Caenorhabditis elegans: one gene and its partners. The protein of the gene in region 1 purifies or fractionates together with the protein of each later gene. This does not show direct contact. Each region holds a gene or a part of one and is shown in the gene's direction. Other genes may lie near its edges.

Evidence for each region.
Region 2: the proteins of F33A8.4 (region 1) and C11D2.7 fractionate together in Caenorhabditis elegans (co-fractionation; one large-scale study listed by BioGRID). This does not show direct contact.
Region 3: the proteins of F33A8.4 (region 1) and K08F4.5 fractionate together in Caenorhabditis elegans (co-fractionation; one large-scale study listed by BioGRID). This does not show direct contact.
Region 4: the proteins of F33A8.4 (region 1) and C44H9.5 fractionate together in Caenorhabditis elegans (co-fractionation; one large-scale study listed by BioGRID). This does not show direct contact.

Annotation. Positions count from the first base shown.
Region 1 is NC_003280.10:11,044,166-11,051,377, reverse strand, and holds F33A8.4 (CTCHY-type domain-containing protein), read left to right. Parts: upstream 1-2,347; coding exon 2,348-2,434; intron 2,435-2,530; coding exon 2,531-2,919; intron 2,920-2,977; coding exon 2,978-3,137; intron 3,138-3,639; coding exon 3,640-3,732; intron 3,733-3,799; coding exon 3,800-3,868; intron 3,869-3,913; coding exon 3,914-4,210; intron 4,211-4,783; coding exon 4,784-5,092; 3' UTR 5,093-5,409; coding exon of another isoform or gene 5,410-5,568; 3' UTR 5,569-5,592; downstream 5,593-7,212. Other genes in the region: ilkp-1 (PPM-type phosphatase domain-containing protein), read right to left, coding at 1-40, 81-192, 1,037-1,118; sdhd-1 (Putative succinate dehydrogenase [ubiquinone] cytochrome b small subunit, mitochondrial), read left to right, coding at 1,466-1,612, 1,662-1,774, 1,892-2,069; col-83 (Nematode cuticle collagen N-terminal domain-containing protein), read left to right, coding at 5,410-5,568, 5,616-5,684, 6,337-6,561, 6,608-6,802, 6,851-7,212.
Region 2 is NC_003282.8:6,153,522-6,158,128, reverse strand, and holds C11D2.7 (PUA domain-containing protein), read left to right. Parts: upstream 1-2,732; 5' UTR 2,733-2,736; coding exon 2,737-2,802; intron 2,803-2,848; coding exon 2,849-3,073; intron 3,074-3,140; coding exon 3,141-3,407; 3' UTR 3,408-3,505; downstream 3,506-4,607. Other genes in the region: unc-77 (Sodium leak channel NALCN), read left to right, coding at 215-301, 420-527, 576-686; C11D2.4 (Queuosine 5'-phosphate N-glycosylase/hydrolase), read left to right, coding at 1,238-1,345, 1,394-1,488, 1,569-2,229, 2,283-2,453; C11D2.3 (BLOC-1-related complex subunit 5), read right to left, coding at 3,506-3,659, 3,706-3,903, 4,315-4,395.
Region 3 is NC_003282.8:10,133,959-10,138,909, reverse strand, and holds K08F4.5 (uncharacterized protein), read left to right. Parts: upstream 1-2,992; 5' UTR 2,993-3,045; coding exon 3,046-3,109; intron 3,110-3,258; coding exon 3,259-3,842; 3' UTR 3,843-3,978; downstream 3,979-4,951. Other genes in the region: K08F4.12 (Ovule protein), read right to left, coding at 621-786.
Region 4 is NC_003283.11:12,844,432-12,852,144, reverse strand, and holds C44H9.5 (uncharacterized protein), read left to right. Parts: upstream 1-2,280; 5' UTR 2,281-2,346; coding exon 2,347-2,401; intron 2,402-2,672; coding exon 2,673-3,121; intron 3,122-3,167; coding exon 3,168-3,261; intron 3,262-3,596; coding exon 3,597-3,722; intron 3,723-3,773; coding exon 3,774-3,868; intron 3,869-3,943; coding exon 3,944-4,058; intron 4,059-4,360; coding exon 4,361-4,444; intron 4,445-4,488; coding exon 4,489-4,590; intron 4,591-4,642; coding exon 4,643-4,947; intron 4,948-4,992; coding exon 4,993-5,226; 3' UTR 5,227-6,054; downstream 6,055-7,713. Other genes in the region: C44H9.6 (DUF19 domain-containing protein), read left to right, coding at 7,340-7,370, 7,489-7,631, 7,676-7,713.

The DNA of each region.
Region 1 (7,212 bases):
TGCGTGACCATCAAAAATCGCGAAAAATGATGCACGAGACCTGAAGAGGGAGTATTGGAAACTGTGAGACTTGGACTTACAGAAATGATTTTTCGGTTCCTAAATCGAATTTTGGAAGCATTATGTGAGTGTCTTGCATGTCAGCTCGTTCTCCTTTTCGACAACCGTACGCGGCAAGAGTGCAGTAAAGATCTTTAAATATAATTGGTATTTTTATTATTTCAGGCGCGAAATTTTGTGTTTCTTGGACCAAAAATACGGTACCCAGTCTCGATACGACAATTTTTGTTAAATACGAACAGATGTGCGTCTTCCGAATTTTTTTTATTTATTTTTCAGAGTTTTTCTCTTGATTTTGTAAATGTTTTAATCCATAAATATATTTTTATCGAAAAACTACAAAAAGTCGATAAAGATTCTGCAACTACACAAGTTTGAAACTACAGTACTCTTCAAAGGCGCACACCTGTTTGTATTTAATAAAATTTATTACTGAGATCGTGGTGAGACTCACTCTGAAACAACCAGCGTGCGCCTTTAAACTGAAGTTACGATACTTTTTTTTAAAATTGAAATAAATTTTGAAGGTTTTTCGAGGCACCACGGTTTCAAGATCTGATGGGATTCCGGATCTACGTTTTCCGGATCTACCATTTCCGGATCTACGTTTTCCGGATCTGGCACCGTGCCAACGCACAAAACGCTTTTCAACGCACGACTTTTTTCGAAATTTTCTTCTAGAAGAAACGCTTAACAATACGCGACGGGTAACATCGGAGCGTCGTTGTCACTTTTTTCTTCGAAAAAAATAGCGATTTAAGAGTTGGCACGGTCAGATCCGGAAAACGTAGATCCGGAAAACGTAGATCCGGAAATGGTAGATCCGGAAAACGTAGACCCGGAATCCCACCAGATCTTGAAACCGTGGTGTCTCGGCTTTTCATGAATTTCCAGTTTTCAAAGTTTTTCTATTTTTTTTCTATTTATTTCAATTTTCCCAAGCAATTTTTTTCAAAAATAATCAATAAATACTCACTTCTCGATTCCTTCGGTTTTTTCGATTCATCTGAATTATCGATCAAGTCATCAGAACTCCGTTTTCTGCTATCCGAGTACATTTTCTGTAAAACAAATTTGTTAGCTTGGAACATTTATGCACATTTTTGGTTTTCCTTATCGAGATTTTTCAACAAAAAATTGTGTTTATCCTGTCTAAATTTAAAATTTCCGCCGATTTTGTAGACGTGCAAAAATCGCATTGATATTCGCTAAACAACACGCGTAATCGTTATTTCGGAGTGTTGTACGAACCGCCGAATTGATTTTGTCCCTCCTTCTCTCTTGTTTTTGTGTGTTCTCTATTCAGAAAGTAGCGAATTTATTAAAATTTTCAAATTTGATTAATGAAATATTTAATTTGAAACAGATTTTTCATGTTTTTGCTCCAAAAATCAATAATTCCAGGATGGCCGCGTCTCTCCGTCATATGGCTCACTTCCAGAAGGCACTTCTCGTCGCCAGAAGCGCTCCAAGAATCTCAACAATCGTTAGAGCCACCTCTACTTTAAACGATGGAGCCAGCAAAGTTCCAGACCACTCTATGCACTTTAAGGTGGGAATTTTAAGGCTTAAAAGCAGAGGATAATCATAAATAATTACAGCTTGAACGTCTTTGGGCCGTTGGAATGCTCCCAATTCTTCCAGCATCCTACTTCATCCACGGACCAGTTATGGATGCCGTTCTCACTGTTGCCCTCACTCTCCATATTCATTGGTAAGGGAATTAAATCGATTTCACATATTATTTACTGAAAAAGATGGAAAATTTCGAAAAAAAAATCATAAATTAATTGTAAATATTATTAACAACAAAAAAATCAAAATTTTTCAGGGGAATCCACGGAGTCGTGTACGATTACGCTCGTCCATACGTGATCGGAGAGGCTGCTGCAAAGGCCGCTCACGTCGGAGTCTACCTCATCACTGGTCTTCTGCTCGGCGCACTCCTCCACTTCAACACCAACGACGTCGGAATCACCAAGGCCTTTGAACTAGTCTTCTCCCTCTAAATCAGTATTGAGAAGTTGAAAAGCTTTCATAATCCGTGTTCCGCCTGTTCATCTTCCCCGCTTCTCTGTTACTGCGAAATTTCCCCCGGCCTCAAGATTTAGTTCCGAGTTCTTTTCTAGTTCGAATTTTAATGTATATTCTTCCAAATGAACTGTTCTAACATCTGCCGAATTGATGAGATAATAATGAACGAATTGGATTATTTTATTCCAAATATTATATTGATTTTATTCAGATTTTTAAAGTTAAAAAATGAATTAAATATAATTATATTCAGATGGTTCACTCAGATGAATATAAAGCGAAACGACTTGAAAGGAAAAAACGGTTTATGCAACAAGCGAAGAAGAACAACGTTTTTAAGGTATAAATTAAGAAATAAATAACAAAATTTATTTAAATTTATATAGAAATAAATAACAAAATTTATTTAAATTTATATAAAAAATCAATTTTCAAGGCTCGCCGACGTAACAACTTCTCAAAACGACCGAATTTCCACAATCACCAACAGGAAAACCAACAGGAGCAACAATTTCAAAAACAAGACAGCACAGCTCTCAGACAACGTGGATTCTTCCAAGTTCTTCCAACTGATGACCTTCCACAAGTTCCGCAGTGCTCTCATGGTCCTTGTCTGCTGTTCGAGAAGAAAAATGGTCCAGAAGTCGAGGAGACATTCTTTGCATGTGCAATTTACAGAAATCAAGCCGAATTTTGCGATTTTAAGTTGACTTTCAACAAAGAAACCGGAGAAATTGAGGTGAAAGAAGCTGTCGAAGGAGAAGAAGACGCAGAGAAAAAGAAGAAGAAAAAGAAGATTTTTGGATATAATCGAATCCCAAAAGCGTGAGTAATTAAATGTTTTAAGAAATTTCCGAATAAAAAATATAATAATTTAATTCAGTCTCACCGAAATGTCACCAACGGACACAGTTCTGTATTGCAAAACGTGCATTAATGTGTTCCCGAACAAGCATGAATGTGTCTGTGAGCCCGTGGAACGAGAGGCTCTCGAACGACCAACTCACCTTCTTCCACCAGTAAATGAGCAACATGGAGAATCAGTGAGTATTTTTGCATTTCCAAACGTTTTTATTATCCAGACGCTAAATTTTGCTGGTTTCGGCACGACAAATTAAAATGGCGAAAAAAAAAACAAAACGGATGTGCGCCTTTAAAGAGTACTGTAATTTCAAACGTTCGATGCTATGGAATTTTCATCAATTTTCCATAGTTTTCCCACGATTTGTTGAATTTTATTTGTTTTATTTGATTTATTTAAGTTTTTTGAAAATTCGAAAAAAAGCGCTTTCAAACGCAAATTTTTTTCTATTTTTCCATAGTTTTTCGTTGAAAATATTTTTTATTTATCAAAATAGTATATTAAAAACAACTAAAAAAGCACATAGCTTTAACAAATTTCGAAAAAATCGATTAAAAATTGTGCAGCAACAAAAGTTTGAAGTTACAGTTCTCTTTAAAAGTTAACAAAAAAATTTTGTGTAGGTTCACCTACTTTGGCTCAAAACAATCTGCACATTTCATAATTATCACCCCAATTTTCAGCAATTCTTCTTCTCCACTGAGACACTTGATGTCATCACGAAAGCTGTTGAAAAATCAAAAGTCGACGGAATTCTGTGCATCGGAGCTCCTAGAGTGAGTTTTTTTTTTGAAAAACGAATTTTCAAAATCAAAACTTGGAAACAAAAAACATTTTTTTCAGATCTTTGAAAACATTCGAGCCCTTCACCCGGAAAAGAACGTGTTCCTGTTGGATTATGATAAACGATTTGTAAGTTATTAAAACCATTTCCTTTTCAAAATTTATCTATTTCAGGCCAAGTTCTTCCCATCGAAACAATACGCTCAATACAGTATGCTCGTTGATCACTTTTTCGATAAAATCGCAGAGCCAAAGCTTATGGAATTCTTCGATAAAAGCAAAAGCATCCTAATGATCACCGATCCACCATTCGGAGTTTTTATGGAACCACTGCTAAAAAGTATTGAAAAGATGAAGAAACGATTTGTGTCAACTGGGAAAGAGGAAACCTTATTTTATTCGATGATTGTTCTGCCGATTTATATTCGAAAATACGTGCTTCATGGAAACTTTTGGATGTCTGATTACAGAGTTAGTTTTGGAATTTTTTTTTGCTCAAAGTGAGCAGAAATGACCAAAAAACCGAATATAACTTGTAAAAATTTGAAAAATAATTTTCTAAATTAAATAAAAACAATGTTAGTGGGTTTAAAACTAAATTTTTGAACAAAATTTTTTTATTATGAATTTTCAACAAAGAGGTTTTTTTTAATAGAAACATTCAAATTATTTTTGAATTCAATATTTTTTACTTTTTCCAACTATAAAGAAAATCACAAAGTTCTAAATTAGCCTTAAAAATCGAAAAATGAACATTTATTTTAACTATTTTTTTTGCGAAAAAACGTCCGAAAATTTTATAAATTATGTTTAAAATCAAACAAAAAAACCTATCATTATACTTAAATATAGGCGGAAAACGAAAAAATGTCGAAACTAGGTTGCGGGAATTTAAAAATATTTCGGCCCTGTTACCACTTAAAAAAAAAAAAATTTTTTTTTAAGTAAAAAAACAGTTTTATTCGGTTGGGACTATTTCCTGCCATTTAGGGCAAAAAATGTATTGAATGTTACTTTTTTAAAATTTATTAAATCATTTTCCAGGTCACCTACGAGGGCCACAAGCTCTATCAACATTCCGAGAAAACGATCGTCCGCCTGTTCACCGATTTGCCAGTGGAATGCATCGATTTAAAGAACGTCGCCGGCTACAAATTCTGCGAAGTCTGCGATCGCTATGTCACCGAACGAAATGTCCATTGCGATCGTTGCCAGGCGTGCACATCAGTGGAACAAGGAAAATGGAATCACTGCGAGAAATGTGATAAGTGTGTCAAGCCGAGATATGTGCACTGTGCTCAATGTGCCAGATGTCATTTGTACGGGAGATGCATTCAGAAGCATGATGAATAATTGTTTTTTGGTTATTTTAAGGTTGTTCTGTTGAAATTGTTACCCTTTTTCTTTTATTGTTATTGTTTTTTGTTTCCCATTCCCTCTATCCTACTACAAAAGTTTTTTGTTTTTCTTAAATCATCATTTTATTAAGATGAAAAATCGCCAATTGTTTTTTTATTCTTAAGATGAGAACACGAAATCCTTCTCCTTCTCTACTAGTTATTCACACTTTAGAATTGAATACTCCACACACTTATTCTCTATTAGTGTTTGCATATCCTTCCATCCTAACAGCTATTCAACTGTTTCTTTCCGCTCCTTCTAGGCTTCTGATGACGTGGCAGCAGCAGAAGCATAGACCGGAAGCAGATGACGTTGAAATTCGGACACTTCGTGTCGTGACTCTCATCTCTGTCGGGATTACTGTAGCTGCGATATTACTTGGATTATTTGGCAGTGTTATTTTATTTGCGAAGACTTTGACGTTTCAGGTTTCAATAAAAAAACATAATTTCAGCTAGCTTGAAGTCTATTGCAGAACGAACTAGAATATGAGCTACGATATTGTGTGTCTAGATCTCACGATTTATGGGACATTCTGTCTCAGGTTAGTTTTGTGGAAAGAAGCCATTAAATGGGCGGAGTCTATTTTAGCTTTTTATTTATTTTTTAGAATATTTTTCGGAAATCGAAAAGTACTCGAAATATATTAACATACAGGCTCTGCCCATTTCTTGGCTGTTTTACATTTTCACAACAATTTATCCAATTTTTGCTGAGTTTCAATTTTTTTTAAAATTTCCTTTCATGTTTGCTGTAGTGTAAGCACAAACTTGCCTTATTCCTACCTTCAAGGCGACCTATGACTGCCTTGCGCCTACACAATAAGCACCGTAGGTAGGCGATAGGAAGGCATGAGTGAGGTACTAACGACGCCTCGAGCAGAGGAATGTTCGAAAAAGTGTCTAGAAAATGTAAATATACATTTGTCAGAAATAAATCAAGTTTTTTTTTCGAAAATCAGAAAATATTTTTTAAAAACCATTTTTCACAATTTTCGTGATAGCTTTCTACTACATATTTTCTATTTTCTGAAATTATTTGTATCGTGATTCCGTAAAATTTTGACATGCCAGTTTAAAGGTGCATGCGTAAATTCCGGCTGGGTCTCGCCACGATCTCAGCCACAGTGTCTCAGCTACAGGTGGCAAATTCTACAGATTTTATAATTTGATCTAACTTTACGGTTCCTTTTCCAGCTCGAAACGTCAAAAGGAGTTGCAATTTCCCAACGTCGAAAACGCCAATTCTTCATGAATTACTGTAACGATGTGACAAATTGTGGTGGACCATCGGATTGTGGTCAGGAGACTGGGTGTGCTATACATCCAGTGCATTCATGTGGTGGAGGTGGAGGATGCTCCCAGCCAGTTGTAGTTCAGCAGCCAGTGATTCAACAACCCATTGTTCACAGCCCACAGCAGGTGGGTAGTTCCTGCCTGACCTGAGTTTTTTCATATTTAGTTTCAGCAATTCTGTATTTTCGGTCCACCTGGGCCTCCTGGAATTCCGGGCCTTGATGGAAATGACGGGGACGATGGATCCGAAGGTTATCCTGGTGTTCCTGGAGCTAATGTTCCAGATACCGTACTTCCAGAAATTGATGATTTCTGCTTTGATTGCCCACCAGCGAGAAGTGGGCCGCCAGGGCCTCCAGGACCAAAAGTAGGCCTATTTGTTAAAACTTTTCAATCAGTCAGTCTTTACTTACAGGGCCCCCGCGGTACTCCAGGTCCAACTGGCCCAAAAAACTTCTATATTACATCAGGCCCACCAGGCCCCCCAGGTCCTCCAGGCCCACCCGGTAATCCGGGAGGCATTGGTCCTCGCGGCCCACCAGGTGATCCAGGCATAATGACTCAAGACTCAAGAGGTGTCGAAGGACCAAGTGGACCATCTGGACCACCTGGACCAATGGGGTTTCCTGGACCGAAAGGAATCGATGGATTTTCACAAGTGGGCTCAATGGGTCCACCTGGAAATCGAGGAGCTCCTGGTCGTGTTGGCTTGAATGGCCCGAGAGGCCCACCAGGAGATATTGGGCCTCCTGGGTCTGCTGGAGGATGTTCGGCTTG
Region 2 (4,607 bases), on another chromosome or scaffold:
TAATAAATCTATATATGGTTATATCTTACTTTTGATAAAGTTGTAGAAGTTTTTTGATAAAGTTGCAACGTTAGATTAACCGCAAAATTCCATCTTGTTTAATAATTGAAAGAGTAATATTTTTATTTCAAATTTAGTTTTTTAACTGCTTCACACAAAACACTCCCAGCCTCCACCCATTTTTGCCTACCGCTTTTTCTTATTTCCATTGCAGTCGCGATCGCCTGAAACCGTCCAGTTGCTTCCGAAACGAGCTAATTCTGAAATCCGAAAGGGTTCCGGACAGCCAAAGAATTTTCATGTGAGTTCGTGTCAATGCCTTTTTTTATTTTTATTTTTTTAATATCTAGTCTGTGTGTTTTGCAGCTTAAAGTAAAATGTAAAATGTTGTTTTCGTAATAATATATTCCAAATTTCAGCTCCAGCTAAACGTCTATGATCTACCTGACGTAGAAGAACGTGGAGAAGATTCTCCATTTTCTCCCAAAAACTTGTCTGATGATTTTAATGGAGAGCATTCACCATTGGTAATTCTTTCACTTTCATTTTCTTGAAATGGTTTTCAAAACTTGTAGGTGATAACTCCATCCTTGCCTGTACCACCGACACATGGAAGCCCTCGACCACTTATGCCATGTGAAACGACAAAAGATATTGAAAAATGGTGGAATTCCCTTGTTGATTAGTTCATTTTTTAATTATTTACATTCTCTTGTTGATCTATCTTTTTTAATGTATTCAGGTTATATTGTTACGAGGTATTCAAAAACGCTTTACGAATATTAATTGTGCTTTCACCGAATGAACAGATTTTTATTGGTTTCGTATATAAAATTTTTCAGATGTTTTCTTTTCAGGTTTCCAATGTAGTCCTTAATTTTGTACGATTAATCAAGAAAAATGTTTTTATTAGCGAAACTATTAGTGGGTAATTTAATTGATTTTTAGTTAAAGAAATACTTTTTAAAACATCTGAAAAAGCTGTAAAACGACGACTTTAATTTTTTAAATATAAAAATACAGCATTTTTTGTCGAGAAATAAAATGTGTTTCAGTCTGCATTGCGTACACGACACTTTAACGTACGACAATTTGCTAGGCACTGTGCAGAAGGAGGAGACGCAGAGACACATCTGCGGAGCGTCGTAACAAACACGTTTTTCTCTTTAAAATTTTTATTTTCATTTTTTACTACTCGGTAGAATTGTCACATATTTTTCACTTTTTAGGTCAGAAAATGCTTATTGACGAAGTCCTCGGTCCTGCGGAATCTGGAAAATTCATCGTCGAGCATGGAAATCTCGTCAAAATCAACCAGGCAGGCGTTCGAAAAGTAGCAGAACATGTAAATCCTAAAAATAAATGTTGAATGAATGTAGATTAATATTTATAGATTCTCGGAGCTGCAAAAGATGGATCTCTGAAAGAAGCTCTTTTCTTATCGCCGGAATTACACCCGAAAAGTGGAGATAAAGATGCCGTCCAGTGGTGAGAAAACTTAAATTGTAACTATTCCTCAAATCTGATCTTTTTAAATTTGAAATCATATTAAATTGAATTAATTTCAGGGTATTATTGGTGGATACAATCAATTTCTCATTCTGGCCGGATGAGGGAGATCACTATGATGTTAGCTGGGGTGGAAAAGCTTACACTGGTTACTTCGCAGCATGTGCCGCTGTCAACAAGGCTATAGCCGCCGGAATTCCAGTACTTTCTGCTGAATGGATGAAAAATGTTGGCAGAGAAGAAATCGACAGGATTTTCAAATCCGATTCAGGACACTCAATTCCACTACTTGACGATCGAGTGAAGGCTATCAATGATTCAGGAAAAGTTCTTCTCGAGAAATTCGATGGACAATTTTATAATTGTGTTATAAAATCAGAGAAATCCGCTCAAACTTTGCTGAAATTAATCGTCGAAAACTTTGTCTCTTTCCGCGATTTTGCCGAATTCAACGGACAAAAAGTTTCGCTTCTGAAGAGAGCACAGATTCTCGTTGCGGATGTCTATGGATCCCTTCAAGGTCACGATGATGCGGGAAATTTCAAGGATATTACCACGATCACAATGTTTGCTGACTATCGTGTTCCGCAAGCTCTCGCTTATCTTGGTGCTCTGGATTATTCAGAAGAACTTTTGAGCCAATTGGGTGAAGGAAAACGATTGGAGAATGGATCAAAAGCGGAAGTTGAACTCAGAGGAGCATCTATTGCAGTTTGCGATGTAAGATTCCAGATATTTCTGAAATTTTGTTGTATTAAACGCTAAATTTTCAGGAAATTGTCGCCAAGATGAACGAACTTCGTGAAACCGATCCAAGATTCTCTGATGTTTGTGAAGTTAACGCCATGGAAGTTGATGTCTATGTCTGGGGATATCGTCGACTTTATGCTGCGGATGTTGAAAAGAAAGTCCCGTTCCACAGGACTCGCTGTATTTATTATTAAATCTGTATATGTAAATATTAGTATTTAATTTTTAGTGTGAATTCTAGTGATTTTAGCTTTTCGTATCATCTTCTGTTTTCATTCCGTGTTTTTTTTCTTTCACAGGTTTTAAATACTTTATTTAACACATTCCATTGACACTTCACTTTGAGCCTTAATTTGTTATATGAATTTTAACATTGTTTTTATTTTGCTGAATTCTTTTGTTTTGGTTGTATACCAATTTTTTAAACTTATCCTTGTTTTCATTTAGTTCAAATCTTACAATTTTTTTTCAAGAACCATGTTCAAAAAATTCGACGAGAAGGAAGATGTGACAGGCGCTACTCAGCTCAAGTCCAGTGTTCAGGTATCATCTTTAATTTTAATTAACTAATAATTATAAAAATTTTTAGAAAGGAATTCGCAAGAAGCTGATCGAGAACTTCCCCTACTTGGAGCCACATCTTGAGGAGATCCTCCCGAAAAAGGAGAATTTCAAAGTGATCAAATGCAAGGATCACATTGAATTGCTCGCCGATCATCTGGGTGTCGTGCGATTTGTTAAAACACGTAACACTGATTACATTCCAACTTTGAGAACACTTCACAAGTATCCATTCATTCTTCCACATCAACAGGTTGGTTATAAATTGATTATTTACCTGGTTCAACATTTCCATTTATTGATGAAAATTCAAATTTCAGGTCGACAAAGGTGCCATCAAATTCATCCTGAACGGATCTTCAATAATGTGTCCTGGATTAACATCGCCAGGAGCTAAACTCACTCCTCTCGTACCAAAGGATTCAGTGGTTGCTGTGATGGCTGAAGGAAAGCAACATGCGTTGGCAATTGGTTTGATGTCAATGAGCAGTGAGGAAATTCAATCTGTGAATAAAGGAAACGGAATTGAAAATCTTCATTATTTGAACGATGGGCTGTGGCACTTGGCTGAAAAATCGTTGAACTGATGTGCTCGAATTCCCGGTCGTCGTGCTCTTTATCAGACTTCCAATAATTTGAGATGATCTTTATTTTATATGTCCATTTTGGGATTTAATTTATATTTTCATGCACTTTCTTTTGTTGTATCTTTTCCTTTTCCATCTCGATTCTCATAAAATTTCCAAAGTTTTCCGTCGAGTTTCTTGATTCTCTTTTCTTCCCTTTCAATACGCCACGCTATTTCTTCCAGTTGAGATTCCTCATTTTTGCGAACTTGCCTGCAATTTCTCAACATCAGAGCGAAACAAAACAAACTTCACTTACTGATTCGCGTGATGAGTCTGTCGTAATGCGTGAAGTTGAGTTGTCAAGCTGCTCAACTTAAAGGCTTTCTCCGAGAAATCATCGACTAAAACCTGAAAAGAATTGTCCAGAGCACATTGATACTTCTCGGTTACTTCATTGCAAACAGCCAAGCATCCAAGAGCCTCACTGATTTTATTATTCTGCTGCTCAATGTTCCTGGAAAAATTATTTTTGCATTAAAGTACACATGAGCAAATATTATCTCGCTAGGTATTTGGCGGGAAAACTGAAAATTCGAGCGATTTCTAAATATAATTATTACCATTTTCTAATCATTCTCCGTCTATTTTGATGTGTTTCCTGCTGGCCTAAACATGCATTTATAACAATTAATTCGGCACGAAAATCATTTAACAAACAACAGAAAAAATAACAAAAATGTTTGATAGCTGACAAAATCGGCAAAACTAACTGAAAAGTTTAAATTTACAGTCTTGGCACCTAATACGAGACCCAACTGTGGGAGGCGGGGCGGTTTTAATTGGCTGTGGAGCGCGTTTCCACATCGATTTCAAAGGGAACATTCTGCTCCTTTGAAATCTCTTCTGCGTCCCCATAATAACTCACAATTCAATAGCATCAAGAAGTCCCCGCTTCTCGAAATAGTTTGTTCTCTGAGCATGTAGATTTCCCTGGATTTTCGCAAATCTAAATTGAAATTTCTGAAAAGAACTTTCTCAAACCAGGTACCGGATATCTCGTCGCGATACTACAGTAATCTACAGTTCATCATACTCCGGCAACAGTATGATCGCTATGAGATATTATCGAAAGAATACGATCGCACAATTTTCTCATAATTTATTTTTGATTTACCTTGTTGACTAGGCTCCTCCTCTTCCTTTGACAAGACAGCCACA
Region 3 (4,951 bases), on another chromosome or scaffold:
TCCGTGGTGTTGGTCATTTTGTTGATATTTGTCGTTTTGCAGCAAGTGCTCCAAAGATTGCTACATTACAAAAAATTTTTCCGTATTTCTTCTATTAGAAAATTGCTAATTTTAGGAGGCATTTTTAGGATAATACAGAAATAGGGTAGGTAGGCAGGTACCTAGGCTGAGTAGACGGAAAAGCGTAATACTAATTTTTGGACAATTGTTATGTGCTTGAGGTTGCTTGTTTTCATTAACAAGAGTTGAAACATTGAATAGAAATTTAGAATTATTGATGCTAATTGTAAGTACAATAGTTTGATTATATGATGCTAATATATGTAATTGAAAGAAAATTTTTATTTCGGTCAAAACGTCACGCTTACTCTGTTTCTCTCACATAATTTTAGAATTCGAACAAAATAATTTTTTTTTTCACGATATGCCCAACATTTCTCAAAACTCTGAAAAAATGGACAACTTGCCAAACGCTTGATCGATTTTTGTCCTATTTTTTAATACATTTAAATAAACTTCCTAATGGTGCTTTTCAGCTTTCGAATCCTTAAATTGTGAGTTCAAAAAAAAACGGTATTTAAATAAATGTCATAAGTTTGGATGAATGAGTAAAAAATTACCATCAGCATGTGATTCAGCATATCCACTATAATTTCTGACTTGTACCAACTTCTTTGTGATTGAATTAGATTTTTTGAGGCATTCTGAGTTTGATGAGGATATCTTCTGATTCTCCACAGTCTCATCATCATCATCCGCCCATTGAACTTTTCGAGCTCGTGTCATTTTTTATTTGATTGCTAAAAAATTAGAGAAAATATTTATAAATTTTGGAAATTGTAATAGAGAAGTTTAAAAAAGGATATGATACATGCATAAATGTTTTGAAATGATCAAGAATGAATGGAAAACGTGCGGTTTTATAGTCAAACATGAGGGAACTCATTTTGAAAACTGAGAATAATGAAAACAAATATGACTGATAATAGAAGGCGGATTCTATTTTTGAATTCATACATCAAAATTCGAAATACAACAGTTTGTCTGAAAATGACCCGAAAACCATAGGAAGTGACCAAATACAGATCGAATGACAACAGATAGACTAGTTATTTCAGAGAAATTGAAATGGCATGGACATGAACAACGTTTGATTTTTTGAAGAGAAAAATGGATTATGTTATGCAAATCAGACAACGACTTTCAGAGAATTTGGGACAGTGATCAACGAATCGAAAGGTCTCGAGTACCGAAAAAAAGATATGTCAAATGACGGTTAAACGACGTCATCTAAACAAGTATGACTATGAAATCAGTGAAAATTCTAGAATTACAAATCAAATAATCATGTGCCTATTTTAAGTCCAACTGAGCACAGTCTAGCACATTTTAATATCAGTTGTTTGTTTCAAATGAAAAATGTTTAAAATAAATTTCAGGCTTTCCAAATAGAACCAAGACCGCTTTTATGTCTGTCTTAAATGCGAGCCTCTTCTTGTGTAGAAACGTTTGCAACTTTATAATAAATGATTACTATAAACTAAAAATGTTAAACTTGTAAAGAGTTTCAGCTGTGCCACGTAAATCTATAACTTACAAATACCAAAATGTGGACAGATAGGAGATAGGTAAGCACATTGACAGGCAGGCACGTACGCTTTGAGGGACCTTATGAAAACCATTTAATTTAAAATTGGCAATTACGTTTTAAAATGTTAAATTTTTCATTCTTGCCCAAGTTTTTTTCGTTTTCTTTTGAGGTATCTTTTAAATTTTACCCTATTTTGGGTATTTTAATACGAAATTCCTTTTGACGCTAGATCCCCTTTACAAATAGAAAGCAAAAACAAAATCTTTAAATCGAGTGCTTTCAACACAAAAAATTTCGAAAATAGTCCGTTGTTGTGGACATTTCCAATGGGAACATTGTTTTGATATTCTTTGGTGTAACTTCCAGTTTTCAATTTACCCAAAACATTTTATAAGTTGCATACATAAATTATTTAAATTGAACACAATCATAGCACGGATTGTTTTTAATTTCATCTAGTTTATTCCCAAAAAGAATTTGCGGAAGTTATACCTGTTGTTTTTTAATTACAAATAAGTATAGCTAACTTAAGATTTGATTTATATGATTGTTCTAAATATACATAACTGTTCTAAATCAATTTGATCAGAATAAAATATTAACTTCAAACCAAAGGAAAATAAAGAAAAAATTTTCTGCAGAGAATTGAATGAACCGTCATGAAAATGGAAAAAAAGTTTATATTTTCCGTTGCTTGACGCCCCCATAACTGCCAGGGCAAATGACAAAACCAATTCGAATGGGAAAATATTGAATGGAATATGAAGAAAATATATGATAGAAAGATGTGATACATTTATGAATTGAATGTACGTTCGAACTGTCAATATTTGAGTGGGAGAAGCTATATGACGTCAGTTTTTCATGAAGAATATGGCAATTGGAAAACTCACGGCCGACACATCGGCAAGGCTTGAAACATATTTACTCTAATAAAATAATGAGAAAAATAACCAAGAATGGTTGGTACTAGATCTCTACAATTTTTCCAGCATTTTGAGTTTATTGTTGTCAAAATGTCAAAATGTCAAAATGAAGATCAAAATGACCACGGAAGGAAATTGTAAGAAACATTGTACAAAACAAAATTCATAACTTGATTATTACCGATGGAGTTTTAAATTTTTGTATATTGTTAAAATGCACGTACTGGTTTTCATTATTTTGGTACAAAAATTCAGGTTTTTCAACAGAACATTTTTGTCAAGCCTATAGGCTTGACAGAAATATTCATTATAGGGAAGACGAATAAAAAAAAAACTTTTCCTTTTTTTAACTTAAAAAAAATTATCACCAAAATTAATTTCAAAAATAAACTTTGTCATGCTTATCACCACGTGAAATCTGACTTCCCATTTAAAATGAAAAAAAAATCAAAAACTCTCTCATAACGAGATTCATACAACGAAAGATCGTCGAGATCAATTCATTTCTCGATTCTTTTCTAACGTACGATGAGTTCCTTAGCAGAGATTCATGGCTTGGCCCAACTATTGGTATTGGTTTTTACTCTCGTCGGTGAGTTGGATAATTTTTAAAAAAGCTGTGTGCAAATATATCTGCTTTAAAAAGTCGCTAATAGTAATATTTTGCGTGAATTTGAAATCAGGATTTTTTCGCTGAAAAATTACAACAGTCGAACGGAGCTTTACAATTCAATTTTTCAGTTACTGCCCATCTCTGTGGCAAGAAGGGCGCAAAGAACAAAAAGAAGGAGGACAAGACAAAAGCAATGTCGGCTATCAAAACCACCACAATGGGTTCTACTACAGCCAACATGCATCCAGCAGAGCCTGTAGTGGAGAAAAAAGAGGAACCAAAGGAGAAAGTTCCAGAGAAAAAGGAGGAGGAAAAGAAGGACGCCACAAAGAAGGAGGAAGCTAAAGAGGAGAAGAAGGAAGAGGAAAGGAAGGAGGAAAAGAAGGAAGAGTCGAAGGAAGGGGAGAAGAAGAATTCAGGTGAAGAGAAGAAAAATAGTGGAGATGAGAAGAAGGAGGAAGGAGGAAAGAAGGATGATGCTAAGGATGGGGAGAAAAAGGAAGAAGCTAAGGAAGGAGATAAGAAGGATGAGGATCAGAAGCCAAAGAAGGAGATTGTGCCAGAAGTCTTCAAAAGAACTTCTAAAGAAAAAGCGATTGCTGATGGTGTCAAGAAGAAGAAGACGGACTATCCAACTATGGAGGACGTTCCAAGTGATTGGGAGAGTGAGAAGAAAAAGAAGAAGAAGACTGAGGCAGATGATAAGGAATAATTCATTGGAAAAGCATCCTCTTTCTTTTTTGTATATTGTAAAATTATGTATTCTCGTCCTCCATAGCTTGAGGCTTTAGTAATCATGATGACTTTTAATTAATGTTGATTAATTCAAGAAGATGTGAAAAATTTGATTTAACTCTTCGCTGATGGCTCATCCAGTTTGACTCAAAAATTTGACATTGACCGATTAATAGGGCACACAATCCTGAAACTGGTTCCAAACTAATTTTTTGCAAGTATTTAATAATTTCTTTTCAGTCAGTGTCTAATATTTGTTAGCTGACATTTTTTGAAATTATAGTGAAAAAATGGCAATTATTCAGTTCTCAACAATAATAATTGTATAAATCAACCTTAAAAAGTTTTCCAATTCTCATTTGTATTTAGTACTAGTACAGTATTTCAACATTATATAGTATTTCAAATCTGCATTAACACTCAAAGATTGTCAAAATGTTTAAATTCAACTGGAAATCTTGAAAATCTACAAGTTTTTGGGAGGTTATTGAGGCAATTTGTTTGTAGTCTTCAATTAAAGTTCTTCTCGGGGAGTACATGACACATTATCGATAGAGCACGTTTCGAACTTATTTTTTATTTCCACAATCCCCAATAACACGAATAGTTTAAAGATGGTATTGAAAGAAAAGTTTTCGAATTTTTTTTAGTTTTGAATTTTGAGAAGTTTTCATGAAGTTTCATTATGAAATTCGGTGTTTTCAGACAATTTTGAGTCTAATAAAGCAATAATAAAAATTTCCATATCAATTCTACCAAAAGGGCACAATTTTTGTTTTTGTTTCAACTTACAGATTTCTTGTTTCATTCTGTAAAAATTCGTTTTTACAGAATGAAACAACAAGAATAAAAAATCTGTTGAACTAAAAATAGAATTACTGTTTCTGAACGTTGTTATTTTTTACCGTCTCAGAAAACGACCGATCAGTCATTACTGTCAAGTATTTCAGAACTCCATCTCTATAAAATCATAAACTGGTTGGTGTAGATAATCGAGTGATTTGAGACTAATTTTTTCAAAATTGGATTCTTCTGGATTCAACAATGCTGTTCCTATTTGTAGATCAAAGATTGTTGGTACTTTGT
Region 4 (7,713 bases), on another chromosome or scaffold:
TATGTGTCATTGCGAAATCTCTCTCGTTTTAATGAGTTTCTTCTCGATTTTCTCCTGGTTTATTTATTTCATTCAAAGTCAAATACAAAGTTATGACAAAACTACAGCTTTGGGACATTTTATAGTTGTTTTAATTATTTTTCGAAAATATCTCTAACATCTCTCTGCCTCCATTATTGTTTTTCACCGCCTCAATTTGAAAAAAACAACGGATATTAGGTTAATCCAATGTGGAGCCAAATCAACGTTGCATTGTCGACTAGTTGATGTTGAACTCGATCGCCTCCATTTTCAGTTAACTTGACATTTATTCACTCAAACATGTCCTTGATGGATCGCTTTTTATTCAACTTTGAATGGTGTATTTTTCTTTTTTTCCGATATTAGTTTTATATGTATGCATGTGTTAAAAATTTTTAAAATTACAGTGAGTGGATCTTTATTGTTTTTCGAGAGTTTTTACCTCATTATCATATAATTTCTTAATTTCTGTAAGGATTTTTCAAATCAGCATTCAGTGCAAAAACTATTCATTTCGCGAAAAATATACTTGTACAGCTTTATAAATTTCATAAACAAAAACGTTTGTGATAATGAAAAGCAACTCGTTTTCACAAAATGTTTTACTATGTGCTAGGATGTGCTATGACTAAGTGTTAATTAAATTTGTTACACGTAACTTTTCATCCGAAGAAGCACCTATATACATTTCAAAGTAACTCTAAAACAAATAGATTAATCACTGGAAAATATATATAAAAAGTCGCGTAGTTTGAAGTGTTCGCCCGGTATCCCATCATTTTGAACTGGCTTGTTCAAAAATCAAGCACCTTGAACAAGTGTTTGCAGACTCATTATTGAGTTTCTTACTTCTATCATACTCATTTTCCTCTTCCTTCCTTTTTCTATTTGTACTTATTATGTTTATAAGGATAACACTAACATGTTTTCAAAATGGAAAATATACTTAAATGCTGCTATTAGTCTTACTATTGTGAACCCTACCTACATATATATCGATGATTAGAGAGACCATAACTATGCCTAACTAAATTAGAAAAATCAGATCTTAATGTCATTTCCAACTACATTCCCTAGATACATTTTTGCGAGAACTATTGGTAATTGTGTATTTACGATTAAGAATTTTTGTTAGCTTTTTTTTGAACATTGGCAAAATTACAAAAATCCAAATTTATTCTTTACCGACTGAACTTATCGAGAAATTTTCCCGACGTTGCTAATTTTTAGTTGATTATTCAAGGTTAGAGGATAATTCATTCGGATTTTCTGAATAATTTTTGAAGATGAACTTACAACAAAATCCTGATATTGTTATTCTATCATGAATTGTCCTATGCCATTCTAATGAACACGTCATACCGAGGACTTTCAAATCCCGCCCATTTCATGTAAAATCAAAAGTATTTTATCAAGGACATTCTACCACATAGATATGTGAAATGTCCAAAAGCCGCAACAAATGCGCACAATTTTATTTTTAGTTGTTTCGATACTTTTTACCGGTAATTGAAACTCATTTTTACAGAACTTTTTTTTTCTGGGATCTCTTTTTTCTTTTGATGCAGCTTATCTCACAATCTCATACCTTATTTTTGTTTTCCGGTTCCCGATCAATTTCGCAATTTTACGTAATTTCGTAGTACTTTTTTCCGTATTTATTTTTAAGTGAGTATTTGTTAATATCTGTTTCAAATGGTCCATAAATATTAGCCAATAAGTAGAAACCATACTACAACAGTTATGAGCGACGCCCATCACATTTTTTCTTTAAACTCTCTTCATCTTACTCCGTGTCTAGCCCTCTCATATAATGTTTGCAGAGCAGTCTAAATCTTGGACTCGCATCAGGCTTGTTCAACAAAACTCTATCTAATTTTATACGCACTATCGAAATCATTTAATTACATTAATTTTCTAACAAATACTTTATTAAAAATTCAAACGGTCACTCAATTTCAAATCGTTTTTCTCTATCTCTCATTCTCTCGCTCTTTCTCTTACGGAACCATATGTTTGTTTCCGATAAACTCTTCATTTTCCCGCCTTGGCAGGCGCTTTTTATGTTTTGTTTCTTTTCCATAGTTACTCTGTCAAAGTTACATTGTTCTTTAATTGATGTTTCCTGCTTGCAAATTGAATTTAGTAATTTTTCTTAAAACCCGTGACTTTGGTTTGCACTGTTCGTTCGCAAACAATCACGTCATTCACCGTCTCTATCTATCATATTCTCGTTTTCATATCGACATTGATTTTCAGTCGCATTATTGGATAGTGGAACATCTTTAAAGCATCGCCGGGTCCACTTTTTATGTGCGTGCCATCATGGTTCTGGAATTGGCCTTCCTTACACTTCTGGCGATAAGTGCCACCACAGCCAGTAAGTTAAATTGTTAAAAAAAATTTCGGAGATAAATAATAATACATATTTTAGAGTAAATAATAATATGGTTAGCCATAATATCTTGTCAGATACATTTTGAACGAACGAACTGTCAATTGTTTTCAGAACTCAAGACTGTTAGCGGATTACAACTAGTAGCATTAAAAATGAACTGAAAAATGATAATGAGGGAAATTTTGTTGCTTTTAAAGATAAATTTAGAAGAGCAGCGAAATCCAAGAACGAATTCACTCAAACTTCTTTATAGTTTCCATCAACACCATCAAATACCCAAATGCTCTCTATCCAGCTAGTTTATCCCGAGGAGGATTCCGAAATGAATGTCCATATCTTTCGAAACGAATTGATTTCTGTGTACCAAAATACGAGGATTGCTTTGGACAATTGAGATCTGTTGAGGACTGCAAATTGGATTACTGCACTTGTATACACGTCAGTGAAGCTACCGAAACTTGCCAGAAACATTTTGGAGACTCTTGTCAGTCGGTGCGAACGAAAGGAGAAGTATACCGAAAGACGATCGCCGAAAATCGAACGAAAACAGTTGTGAATAAACTAGAAGCAATTTTTATGAAACTCTCAGATGCGTTTTCTAGTCTGTTAAAAAATTGTGGCGTGGTGTCAGAAATGGAAGAAAAACTACATCAAGCTGTCAGCCAACTTGACACTCAGAATCCACTTTTGAACTTGACTCTTGTTAGTTTTTCCTTTAATAATTGAAAATTATCTAAATAATGTTCAGAAGTACTTAATTCTTCGTAATCTCGAGTCTCAAATGCTCAACTCTACAACATGCCAAAATTCGAAGACGTCATTCCAAGAAACTCTGGTTAAACGTGGGTTTTTTGAGGTCAAATATACTTTCTGTACTTTTGTAGTTACCGTATTAAAACGGTGAACAAGTCTTTTAATAGCAATAATTCTTAAAATTTTCTCAAAAGTATTTTTTGGAGACACGAAGTTAAAAAAGGCTATTTTCAACACAAATCTCAAATTTTGCACACTTGTCCATACAGAAGAAATTTTACGGACAGTTCGTGTATTAAAGCAATAACCCAGATTTGGCTAATCTACCTTCAATATCATTCTCGATAGATATGAACATTTTATAAATTCCTATTAGATTCACTATTGGAAAATTTAACTTTAAGAGAAAATGACCGATTTTCAGTAGACAGTATGAATGCCCAACGACTGCACATACCATATCCATTCTGGTACATTGGAACTGAATTTGGACCAATAGGAAAAGTGATCATGAGGTCATTGGCGTATGAAACTTGTGATAAAGCGTCTTGTAAGTACTTTTTTACTCTTTAAGAATTTTATGAAACTTGTTAATTTTTAGTGGATTTCAATCATCATAGTGTTGTACGTGTCAACTGCTACGACCAACAAAAAGATCAAAAGGACTGTGATGAAGCATACAGCGAAGGAAACTATGTAATTTTAAAAATTATTTTGTTGGTTTTAAAGAAACAGAATTAATTATTATTTTCAAAGCTATCCAATTTTCAGATGACACTGGGAACAATGGATTCAAAAAAACTGGTTTGCAAGATGTTCGTTGATTTTAATGAAAACTTAAAATCACTGAGAGCTGAGGATTTCTATAAGGAAGCTGCAGAACATCGTAAGAATTTTAATATGAGTTTATCAAGATTCAGATAATTTTAAAATGGATTTTTTTAAAATTAAATTTTTAAACAAATCTCTCGTCATCCCGTCCAAGTTTCTCTCAAAAAATGTTTAGTTTCGATAAAAAGACAATACATAGTTTACGCTGCGCCCGAGTTTAACGCAACGTTGATCCAACTTTTGCCAAACTCTCACCCAAGTTAATTTCTTTTGATTCAAGTTTACATTTTTGGGCGAAACGTGGGCAAGAACAGAGCGCCAAATGTCAAAGGGGTATTTTTCCACTTAATTTTTCAGACAAAGTTTCTTCGACTACAAGTATAAGGGGTCGATTCAATGAGGGATTTACATCATTTGTTGATGGATCGATGACTAGAAGAGGTGTGTTTCTTGGTTTTAGTTCAACTTAAATTATATGTTTTCAGATACAAAAAATGATTTTCTTGTTTTGGAAGCATCTGAAAAATTGCCTCTTCGCCTTCTTGACTACTTTGATAGTGTTTCTTCGGAATGTGGCGCATCGAAAAGTAAGTTACCAAAAATTTAAAAAAAAATTTTTTCAAAAAACTATCTAAACAGGATCTGCAGGTGTTGTTGCTTCATGTGGGTTCATGTTCGAATATTGCATTCAATTTTTTGGAAGAGACTGTCAAACTCGTTTGTCAACTTGTCTGAATGATATTAACGAGATGGATTATACTTGTGAAGATGCAATCAGAAATATTGTCAAAGTTCTGTATCCGGATACAAATGCAACATCAAAGTTGGAAAAATATTCTTCAACTGTTGAAGTTGCCGAGACTGGGTTCATTCAAACAATTGGTGCAATTGGTGCAATTGTCATTGGAATTATTTTTTTTGTTTTGATTACAGCTGTTTTCCTGGTAAGAATATTACTTGTTTCATGAATGAAATTACTTTTTTTCCAGATGAAATTTGAGAAACGTTCTTGCAAACGTAATTCCGGACCCAGTGAGCCACCACATCAAGGTGATGGAAATAGACTTCTTCCTGCTGATAACTCTCCTCTTCATCAGCAATTGGTTGTCATCAACTCAATAAGTTCTAGCTACACGGATCTCAATAATAGCAACGAAAAAAATGTTGAAAAAATATTAAACAACCAAGCTGAACAGCAAGAAGAACTCAAACACTACACCTAATTTACCGACATTCCTAATACGAAAAACCTGTAAATCTGAGATCCTTGGCGTAATCTCTCGAAAAACCGAGAGTTGAAAATGATCTCAATGCAATTACGGATCAATGAATTTTGTATCACGTTACTATTTAGCAAACTGGGAAAACTTTCTTGAATCTTCAGTAGGAATAGAAGTGAAGTTAGTAAATAAATAGTATAGATTGTATGAAAAATTTCACCATCCTAGATTTCTTTAGGAACTTCTTAATTTGAAGCACTATGCAATTTTTTTGGAAAAGAAAATCGAGAAATTTGAAAATCATTACGTTGGCTCAAATATAATATCAGAAAAAATCAAAAAGTATCAAAATTGTCAATAATTAGGATTTTTTATGAGAACATTGTTATTGTAAATTTAATTGCCCGAACCTTGAACAGTTTCTAAAACTAATACCTTTTTTAATAGTTCAATAATTTTTTTTCTTGCCAAGAAACGTTTCTCCAGTTTGATTTTTCTCTTATTTTTTACAAAAAACTGTTTACATGTTCATATTCATTTTTTAATTTTAATTGACTTTTATTTCTTTTTCTTCTATTTTCTGTTGTTTCAAAACTGTTGTACTATTGTACTTAATTGTTAGAACCTTACATTTATCAAACCCGAAATCTCATAATACACCTCGAACATACTCAAGCATGACATCCGGTTTCCTTATTCTTACAATATTTGTCTATAAATCACGGTTGGAGCCAGATAAATTGTGTCCGTTTGGCACAATCATCTGAAACCATATAAGACTATGAAAGTTGTTGCCAGTTCATTATTTGTACAAATAAATATTCTCCAAACCGAAATGATTTTTCAATTTCAGGTTACAAAAACTGATTTTCAAAAAAAAAACACAACAGCTGAAAGTTTGACAACTATGGACTAGATCATTCATACTGAAAGTGATAACCAAGAAAAAAAAAACTAGAAACAGTATTAAGAATGTAATTTACAGTTCAATGCATATTTAATTCTGAAACTGAACATATAATAATTTGTCTGTTTAATGTTTTGCAGAGTTCTCAAATTTGTTCACAAAGCAATTTTTGAGAATATTTCAGTAGTTATTTTTAGTTCTTTGGTATTCCCCACAATGTTTAAGGTCTTCAAATAATACGGGCCGCTTTTTAGATACCGAAAAGGTTGCGAATTGTCGTTTGGGAAAATGTGGTAAATCACTTTAAGTGTGCTAAAGTAAAAAATCAGTAAAAAATGCCCTCAAATCTAATTTGGAAGAATCTCAAAACTTTAAAACATTATTGTAATTTACAAAAATTAGCCTGAAAATTGTTTTAAAAACTACTTCATTTTTTTCCTTAATTTTTAATGAGAACACACGGAACATAAAATGGAAAGAAATATTCCTAATGTCCAGCATTATGATTGAAATTTCTGAAAAATACACAGTGAATACGTTTAAGCATACCGGTGATAAGAGTCTAATTTGAATAGGCAGGAGTGTTTTCATGATAGCATGTCATTCAAATTTATACTAATAATCATCGAAACTCCTTTGCATATTGATTTTATCTAATATTTTTACTTATTTGTTAATTTTCAGCGCTACGATGATAGATGAAATAGATATTTATCAACCCAACTCTATGAACTGCTTTTGGAACAGTGGAACCTGATCACGAATTTGTTATTAGATGGGTTTGTATTAAATATGTATATAAGTATTACGGAAAAATGATTTTTGAAACGCGAAATTAAAAACAAGATGGAAACTTTTTCAAATTAAGAAAAACTACTGAAATTTCAAAGACAGAGTGGAATAATTAGTATATTTTTGCGAGACAATGTTAACAGACTAATATTAAACAAAGATTCGATGTGTTTTATTTGTTTTAATTCTCAGAAAAGACTCATCACTAATTTCAGATGTATCATTTTGCAAAATCACGCCATAAAGTAATGCACTTTTTTTTGATATTGACTCATCGTTGCATGTGTGCTCTAATCAAACCTCCTCTCGTTCTCGGCCTGAAGTACATAAAAATAGTAAAATAACAATAAAATATTTTAAAATTTCTAATAATTTTCAATATTTCAGATTTTGTGACTTTCGAATCACATATTAGCAATGCTGAATCCTTCTCTATTGATCTTATTTGGTAAGTTCCAGTTTTTGTCAACAAATCAATAAACGTAGTTAATTAATTTATTTATTTACGCTCGCGAGGAGACGTGGTTATTTGTTTTAAAATATTACATTTCAAGTGTTTTTTTAAGGTTTCGCCAGCAATGAGTTGACAAAATTCAAAACTTATTGCCCCAAAGAACAAGCCGCTCTCAGCATATGTGGTTCACATAACGAAGATTGCTTGATGACGCTTAAATCGGATTGCCACGATCAGTTGTTGCATTGCATAAATGTGAGCATCATCTGAACTTTTATAATTTTTCTTAAATTTTTCAGGCACTGATTCCCACGAACTTGTCAAAAGGACATCGTTA